Oryzias latipes: one gene and its partner. The protein of the gene in region 2 interacts with the protein of the main gene of each other region in a pairwise test. Links are inferred from orthologs where the notes say so. Each region holds a gene or a part of one and is shown on either strand. Other genes may lie near its edges.

Evidence for each region.
Region 1: the proteins of usp19 (region 2) and E3 ubiquitin-protein ligase Siah2 interact in a two-hybrid assay, tested with the Homo sapiens proteins (2 studies listed by BioGRID). The link is inferred for Oryzias latipes from reciprocal best matches to the Homo sapiens genes USP19 and SIAH2.

Annotation. Positions count from the first base shown.
Region 1 is NC_019872.2:23,473,162-23,476,408, forward strand, and holds the end of E3 ubiquitin-protein ligase Siah2, read right to left. Parts: intron 2,777-3,247; coding exon 2,597-2,776; intron 2,089-2,596; coding exon 1,717-2,088; 3' UTR 796-1,716; downstream 1-795. UniProt on the Homo sapiens protein: E3 ubiquitin-protein ligase that mediates ubiquitination and subsequent proteasomal degradation of target proteins.
Region 2 is NC_019865.2:4,266,822-4,271,124, forward strand, and holds the start of usp19 (ubiquitin carboxyl-terminal hydrolase 19), read right to left. Parts: upstream 2,888-4,303; 5' UTR 2,577-2,887; exon of another isoform or gene 2,508-2,576; intron 1,804-2,507; 5' UTR 1,634-1,803; coding exon 1,447-1,633; intron 1-1,446. UniProt on the Homo sapiens protein: Deubiquitinating enzyme that regulates the degradation of various proteins by removing ubiquitin moieties, thereby preventing their proteasomal degradation. Stabilizes RNF123, which promotes CDKN1B degradation and contributes to cell proliferation.

The DNA of each region.
Region 1 (3,247 bases), on a different chromosome or scaffold from region 2:
TTTTTGAGATAATTGTTACAGAAAAAGCTGGAAACTGCAGCTGTTTTTTTTCCTAAAAGATGCAATAAAAGTTAAGTTAGAAGATTTAAAAACAGTTTGATGTGTGTTCGTTGGTTTCAAGACGTTTAACAACAGATCTCCTTGTGCGCTGTCACTCTCACAACCCAATGCATCATGGGAGATGTAGTGCATAAAACGGCCGGAGATCGGATTTCGGAGCTTCATTGTTTTGTTCACTTGTTCCACGGTCTGATACCGGATTCTGTGGAAAGCTACAGCGCTAAAGACGAGCTTTAGCTGGAATTTTTGTTAGAACTGAGCGACTTTACGAGCTCAATCGGGACAAGGAAGTGAAGACTTTAAGCACTTCTGATTGGTCAGACTGATGACATGTGATTCAGCCCCCCAAGAATGATTGGTGGAGACAGTTAAAAGGGCGGGACTTTTCCAAAATACAGCCGAAGCTGCAGCTGAATCGCGGTAATGTCATTCTTATCAAAATGTCTTTAATAAGATAAAATAAACGCAAAGAAAAAGTATTTAACAATATTTTATATTCCTAACTCCTCAGTGTTTTATCAGGGCCTGTTTGGATGAACAGAGAGCTGAAATCCTGGATATGGGAAAAGTTTTTAGATCAGTTAATGAGGGCAATTTCCCACGGCACACTTGACCATCTCCCACGGCACACTAGTGTGCCGCGGCACACTGGTTGAAAAACATTGGTCTAGATAATGGTAAAGTGCCTAGGATAGCACAAGGGATACAGACAACAGTTCTTGATGAAAGCTTTCATTCATGAAGCCACAGTAAAAAAACGTTTATTATAAGCTGCTTTGAGTCAAACATGCAGCACCTCAGATGGAAAACTGCTTTTTGTCTCATGAACAGCACCGCCTGCTGCTGCTCAGTCCATCTGCACTTACAAAACATCGGTTCATCAAATCCAACAGAGGGTTGGTTTATGAGACAGACATGAAGGAATGAATTATTTCATAAACACAGGCTCCGCCTTCTTCCCAGTTAAAATCATGAGGTACAAGAAAACTGATATTAAAAGAAGAGAAACAAAGAAATGAATCAGAAGTGAAAAGAAACATTTTATAATCGTCTGTCTGATCACACAGACTTTAGTTCGGAATTCATCCAACAGTACAAGGAAATCTGAAAAAGCAGAAATCGCCAGAAAATGTCTGAAACCGTGGAAGAAACCTAACGGATTCTTCCGGCGCGTCTGCAGGGCCAAACACCCTTTAATGCCGCTGCAACCTCCGGTTCGGCCGCTGAAACATTCAGTGCAGCTGCGGGAAATCTGAGGAGGCGGAGTTTACCTCGAAAACCTGAGCTGCTTTGATGCACTGGCGCCCCCTGTTGACGTCACGTGGCATCATTTGCATAATAATTTTAGGGTTGCTATGGTTACAGGTTGCTGATTCAGACTGCAGGACACTTGACTGAGGTGGTCCTTTTGTGGGTCTGAACGGTTCTGGTTGCCCTGATCGGTGCTCAGGCGGTTTTGGACCCTAAGGTGGAGCTTTGTGCGGCTCTGTCATGGAGCAAGTACTTCCACTCTCTGTTCAGAACTGACGTGCACGCTCATTCGTGCACTCTCATCCGTGTACAGATCTGTGCGCTGATCCAACCGGGCTCGTCTTCATCAGCGGCGTCAGGTCATGACGTCTGCGGTGGCGCCGCAGAGCTGGACTTTGTCGCTCGTCAGCACATGGAGATGGTGACGTTGATGCCCAGGTTCCCGCTGTCTGCAAAGAGGTGAGCGATGGAGGTGTCGAACACCAGACAGTCGCTGTTCATGATGGCGGCTGCCACGCCGTCGTGGATGGAGCGTGGCGTGGCTTCCCAGGTCAGCCGGCGTCGGTTGCCATTGAGCTCCAGGCGGTAGGCGAAGTTCTCAGCTTGTTTGCGCGTGCCGATGAGGAGGACGACGGCGAAGAACTGCTGGTGACCTTCATACTTCTCCTGCTTCTCCAGAACCAGCATGAAGTGATGGCTGAAGCACGACTGCATCATGACCCAGTCCACGGCGCCCGGCAAGTTGATGTCTGTCGCCAGGAAGACAATGTCTTCTCCCTGCAGACAGGAAGAAAGAAAGAAGACGACGGACTCAGCATGGGAGACCTTTATCCTGAAGCAGACTTCATGAGGAACAATCTGTCCTTTCTGAGGAAGTTCTAAGCTTCAGGAGTTTCAGCTGATCTGCAGTCATCTGCTCCTCGAGGGAGACGTGCTCCTGTCGGTTTAGGTCCGGCAGGTTTCTGAATGAACCTCAACTAAACAGGACCCAGAACCAGATGGTGACCAGATCCATCTGCTGCTTCAGATTAGTGCAGCAGATAGAAGGTTAAGCAGGTAAATGGCAGAAAGATGGTTCCTGAGGAAACAAACAGGGAAGTCCTCCTTCATGAATCACCACGAAGGAGGAACTTGCTGTACGTTTTGGTCTGATGTGACCTTTAAGAACAATGAAGATCTGGTCTCTTCTTCCTTCAGGCTAATGCTGAGTCAGGGATTCTCACGTTAAAAAGACATGACAGAAGCATCAGGAGTTCTCAGACCAGGATCTGCACACGGTTCTGACCTGCAGCGTGGTGATGGACTTGTGGGCGTGCATCAGGTGAGGCATGACGGCCTCCAGCGAGCCGTGCCACTTGCAGGTGGCTCCTGGACACGGACAGGTGTACGGCCGGAACTCGCACACTTCCTCGTGGTCAGGCTTCTCGCTGTGGTGCAGAGACAGCAGGCATCCGGCAGACGAGTACTGCAGAAAACAGAGCGGGCGTCAGCTGGACGCCAACATCAGGAGCCCCGGCGAAGAGCAAAGGAGCAGGAAAGATGTTCATCAGCAGATAAGCAGCTGCTGCACTTCACCAACTATTGATTATTTCACAACATTTTTCTCATTTTTAAATATCGGGAGACAAAAGAAAAATACCGACCACATCTAGTCATAATGTAGAAATGATCCTGAGATCTTAAAGTGTAAGAATTCAATCCCATCATACATTATGTACTTGATTGTACATGCTGGATGGAAAAATTAAGATGACTCATGAAAAACATCTGAAAATAACAATCTAATCTAATCTAATCTAATTATCCTCCTGAAACCTGAAGACAAAGGCCATTACATCCAGAATCCATTTAAGTGTACTCCAGTTTCCCACCATGCATTGCAACTCCAACTTCGCTTTGTTGAAAATATCCCACTCCACTGACATATTGCACACTG
Region 2 (4,303 bases):
GGGGGGGGGTCCCTCTGTATTGGCGGGGGTCCCTAGTTCCGAACCTCTGCATATACTGTACAGCGTTAGAAATGGGGGGGGGGGGGGGTGTAACCTGGCAAGTAATGTTTGGTTTTCGTCCCCAATTTTTGCTTGTCCTTCGATACCAATATTCAACAGCAATGAAACCTACTCAGATGTCAGTACTTGCATCTTTATTTCTTCTATACATCTAATATCAACTGCCTCTTATGATGGACATTTGAAAAACTCTTTAAATATTAAAAACAAACTTTTTACTAAATATTGAAGCATCTGGTTACACAAAGTATTGCCAAAAACTTGAAAGTAATATCTTTATAACTAGTATCTTTACACAGATTCAAATATATTGGTTCTTTTTTCTCTCTTTGGTTTTGATAATTGTTGCTCAAAAAATATAAAATACAAAGACTGAAGTAAAAATTTATAGTATCATATAAATCCCATGGAAAAAAATTTTTTTTCAGCTCGTGTCAGTCTGTTCTGTTATGAGTGAAAGTTAAAGTGTTTTATGAATGTGTTTTAAATCTTCTGTTAATGGGCTGATTATTTTGAACTTGTTTTGGAGACCTCTAGCGGTCGCGCCAGGTACTGTTGTTCAACACCTTCCTTTGAATAATCTTTATTGAAAAGTGAAAATGTAGAAACAGAAAAGATTCGCTAGCATGCACGCACTTAGTTTGTCAGTGGAAAGAATTTGCTGCATACGTCTCAATTCAGAGGTTGCCAAAAACTAACCCTTGAAACTTGAAAAATAGTTGAAAAATACCAAAATGTTGAATAAAAGACCTGGTTGTCACACGGACAACCATCAAGTTCATTTTTGGGTTGTCCTCTGTGAAATCTGGTTGTCTCGGACAACCGGATAACCGCTTATTTCGAACGCTGAATATAACGTTTCCAATTTACACAATATTCCCAGTGATCATCATTTGACCTATTTTCAAAGCAGTGGTCTTCTAATCATTATTATGCAGATTTTAGCCTATTACTTAAACTTAAAAAAATCTGTATCCTGCCACTCTGCTGAGAGCTCTCCGTTTACATGCTTACCCCAACCTGACATTACTGGTCCAACAAATGGCGAGCAATATTGAAGCTATCCAGCCGTACAGCTTTGAGCCAGGTACCCACTCAGACCAGGAAAAACAAAGACGCTCATGAATCCGTGAATCATTTGTTAAAATCAAAAATTAATCAGAATGGAGCTGAGCAGGATGGAGCGTATTTCAACGCTTCCCCAAGTCAAATTGATATTTTTTGTCCGCTCCTGATTCACAATTTGAATAGAGAAATACTCTTGAAATAATACTTTGAGCAAAATTTTCTGTCTTACATGTCCTCCATCGTTAGAAAAAATGCCACAAATGGCCAGATAAAAAGACTTTAAAGAATTTCTCAGCTACATAAATGCTTGACTCTTACCTTTTTTGACCTCGGCGAGAACTCCATCCACTGCCGCCGCCGCCACTGCCGCTCTCTTGGCCTCTCTGCTCTCCTGGTTGGCCCTGTCCTTCTGCTTCTTCTTGCTGGAGGACACGTCCGAGCCGCTGCCTCCTCTCTGCTGAGCCCCAACGCGATGACCATCTCCGCCGCCTCCACTGCTGGCCATCTTCTGGCACTTGGCGCTGACCGGCCGCCCGTCGCTGGAATCGCTACCACTGCTGCTGGGGTCTGGATCTGAGGTGTGCCTCTTCCTGCCTGGGCCGGCTATCTTGGCGATGGTACTGATGTGATCTCCCCCAGAATTGAATCAGGAAGGTTGAGGAAAGAGGTGGGGATCTAAACGGGGGAGGGGGGGTATAAATATTAATGATTCATAACTGTAATTTAACCAAAGTTTGCTACAACAAAGCCAAGCCACGTTAGATGAGTCAGCAAACAGCCACGGGGTTGTTGCTTTAGGCCATTTGGGAGCCGGTTTCAAATGTCAACACAGAGAAGCACTGCAGCAGCCAGGACGAGGCTATAATGGTAACGGACAAAAGAAGAGTCTGAATTCGTTGCCAAAAATCACAAGACAGTCCAATTCTTCCTGTCAATATACAAAACAATGCGACTCACATGCATTTAAATAAAATATCGGGCGTCAAACAAATAATTACAACACTAAAAGAGTAAATATTAGCTAAGCTAGTAACTAGCTTAAGCAGAGGGGTTCGTTTGTTTTAGGGCATTATGTTTATGTGCCTGTCACGTGACTGTGGTCTAAAATACAAACTTACTTGAATTATATCAAACGACCTACGGAGTAAGAACGCCACACAACTGACTATATATCAGAAGCATATAATTAACATAGAATGTGGGACTATTAAGCCACAGATTCCGTCTCTCCGTGTGAAGCGCAGAACGGGTCCTGAAATCAAACGCTCCTCTCGGCAGCTATTGTCGTTAGCGGCTTGCTAGCAGCACTTGCAACGAAAACGCTCAAATTGGAGCTAAAACACTACACAACACTGGGTCAACGTAAGCTACAGACTTACCAATACGCCAAATGTAAAACTTGCTTCAAAATATAAAAATTACAGGGTAATCACGCCGTCTGAACGCACAATAGCGGCCGCCTTCGGTGCTCCTCGTCCGGCTGCTGCTGCCGCTTTGCTTCACGGCCGCGGGCCGCTTCGCACCTTCTCCGGACTGGAAACCCCAGCGGTCCGCGGTGTTTCTAGAATGTTCTACATTTAGCCGGATCCCATTTCCGTGAACTGAATGGAAATGTCTGCCGCAATTTATTTAAGAACACATTGAGGTGAGGACCTCGTTTAATCCGCGGGTGTCATTCGGCCTCTGCAGAGTAAGACGACTTTGTTGTCCCGCTGCCCGGATGGACCCGACTCAAACCGAAGCGAACCTACTTCCTGGTGGCGCTATCACGTGACCAGAACGCCTCCCTACGTTCAGAGACAGAATGAAACGGAAGACTGTTTACTTATTTCTTCTTTGTATTATTATGGGTAAATTCTATATACAGCACAGACCAAAAGTTTGGACACACCTTCTCATTCAAAGAGTTTTCTTTATTTTCATCTATGAAAATTGTATTTTCACACTGAAGGCATCAAAACTCTGAATTAACACACGTGGAATTATATACATAAAAAGTGTAAAACAACTTAAAGTATGTCATATTGTAGGTTCTTCATAGTAGCCACCTTTTGCTTAGATTACTGCTTCGCACACTCTTGGGATTCTCTTGATGAGCTTTGTAGTCACCTGAAATCCCCTGTCAGGTTTAATAAATGTAATTTCTTGCCTTATTAATGGGGTTGGGGTCATCAGTTGTGCTGTGGAGAAGTCAGGTGGATACACAGCTGATAGTCCTACTGAATAGACTGTTAAAATTTGTATTATGGCAAGAAAAAAAGCAGCTAAGTACAGAAAACCGAGTGGCCACCATTACTGTAAGAAATGAAGGTCAGTCAGTCTGAAAAATTGGGAAAACTTTAAAAGTGTCCCCAAGTGCAGTTTTTCCAATTTATAATTTTATTTAAAAACATTTTTTATTGATACTTCAAGTTTACAATGTTTAATTTCGAGTTTAAAAGTTTTTTCAAAATTTAAATTTAAAATCTCTTTTTTTTCATTCACTTTAAGCTGATGCAAAATTGACCCCATGCCAGTGTCCTTCATGTTTGTCAAATAACCTACCATAGTAACCTCTTGAAGGTAAAACCAACCTGGATCCAGGTAATTGGTAGTAAGTCAGACTTGGATTTCCAAAAACGGCCCTTGAGTCCTGGAGTCTGACATCCTGCCATTGATGTTCCACTGAATCGGTTTGTCTGTTCCATCATTTCTACAGCTGCCAACGTACCTCTTCTGTCTCACAACAGTTGTGTTCATTTGTTTTATCTCCTGGATGCTTGATAGACGTTCCATGTTCCAGCTATAAGGTATTCAAGCCTTTGTTTTCCCATTTCTCTTTCTTTCTTTTAGTATCTTCTGCTAATTTTTTTTGCCGCTTAACTTCTAAAATCGTTCAGCTATTTTAAACATTCAAATGTTCAGCTCTTTCAGCTTTTTCCAGGTATGACTGTTGTTCCTTCAAATCCTTGAGCTTTTCAAGATATTCCATGATTTTTGCCTCCATTGAAATACACGGGGAATCCTTGGTGCAGAAGCTCGCTGGTTTGATACTCGGGGCTGGCATTTTTCACAAAAATCTTTATTTATGGTCAACTTTGATCATTTTTCTTTCTATTTTTTTTTGCCAATTATTACCTTTTAAGTTTTATTTTCATTCAGAAATATAGCACTCAAACCTGAATTTTCTTGTGGA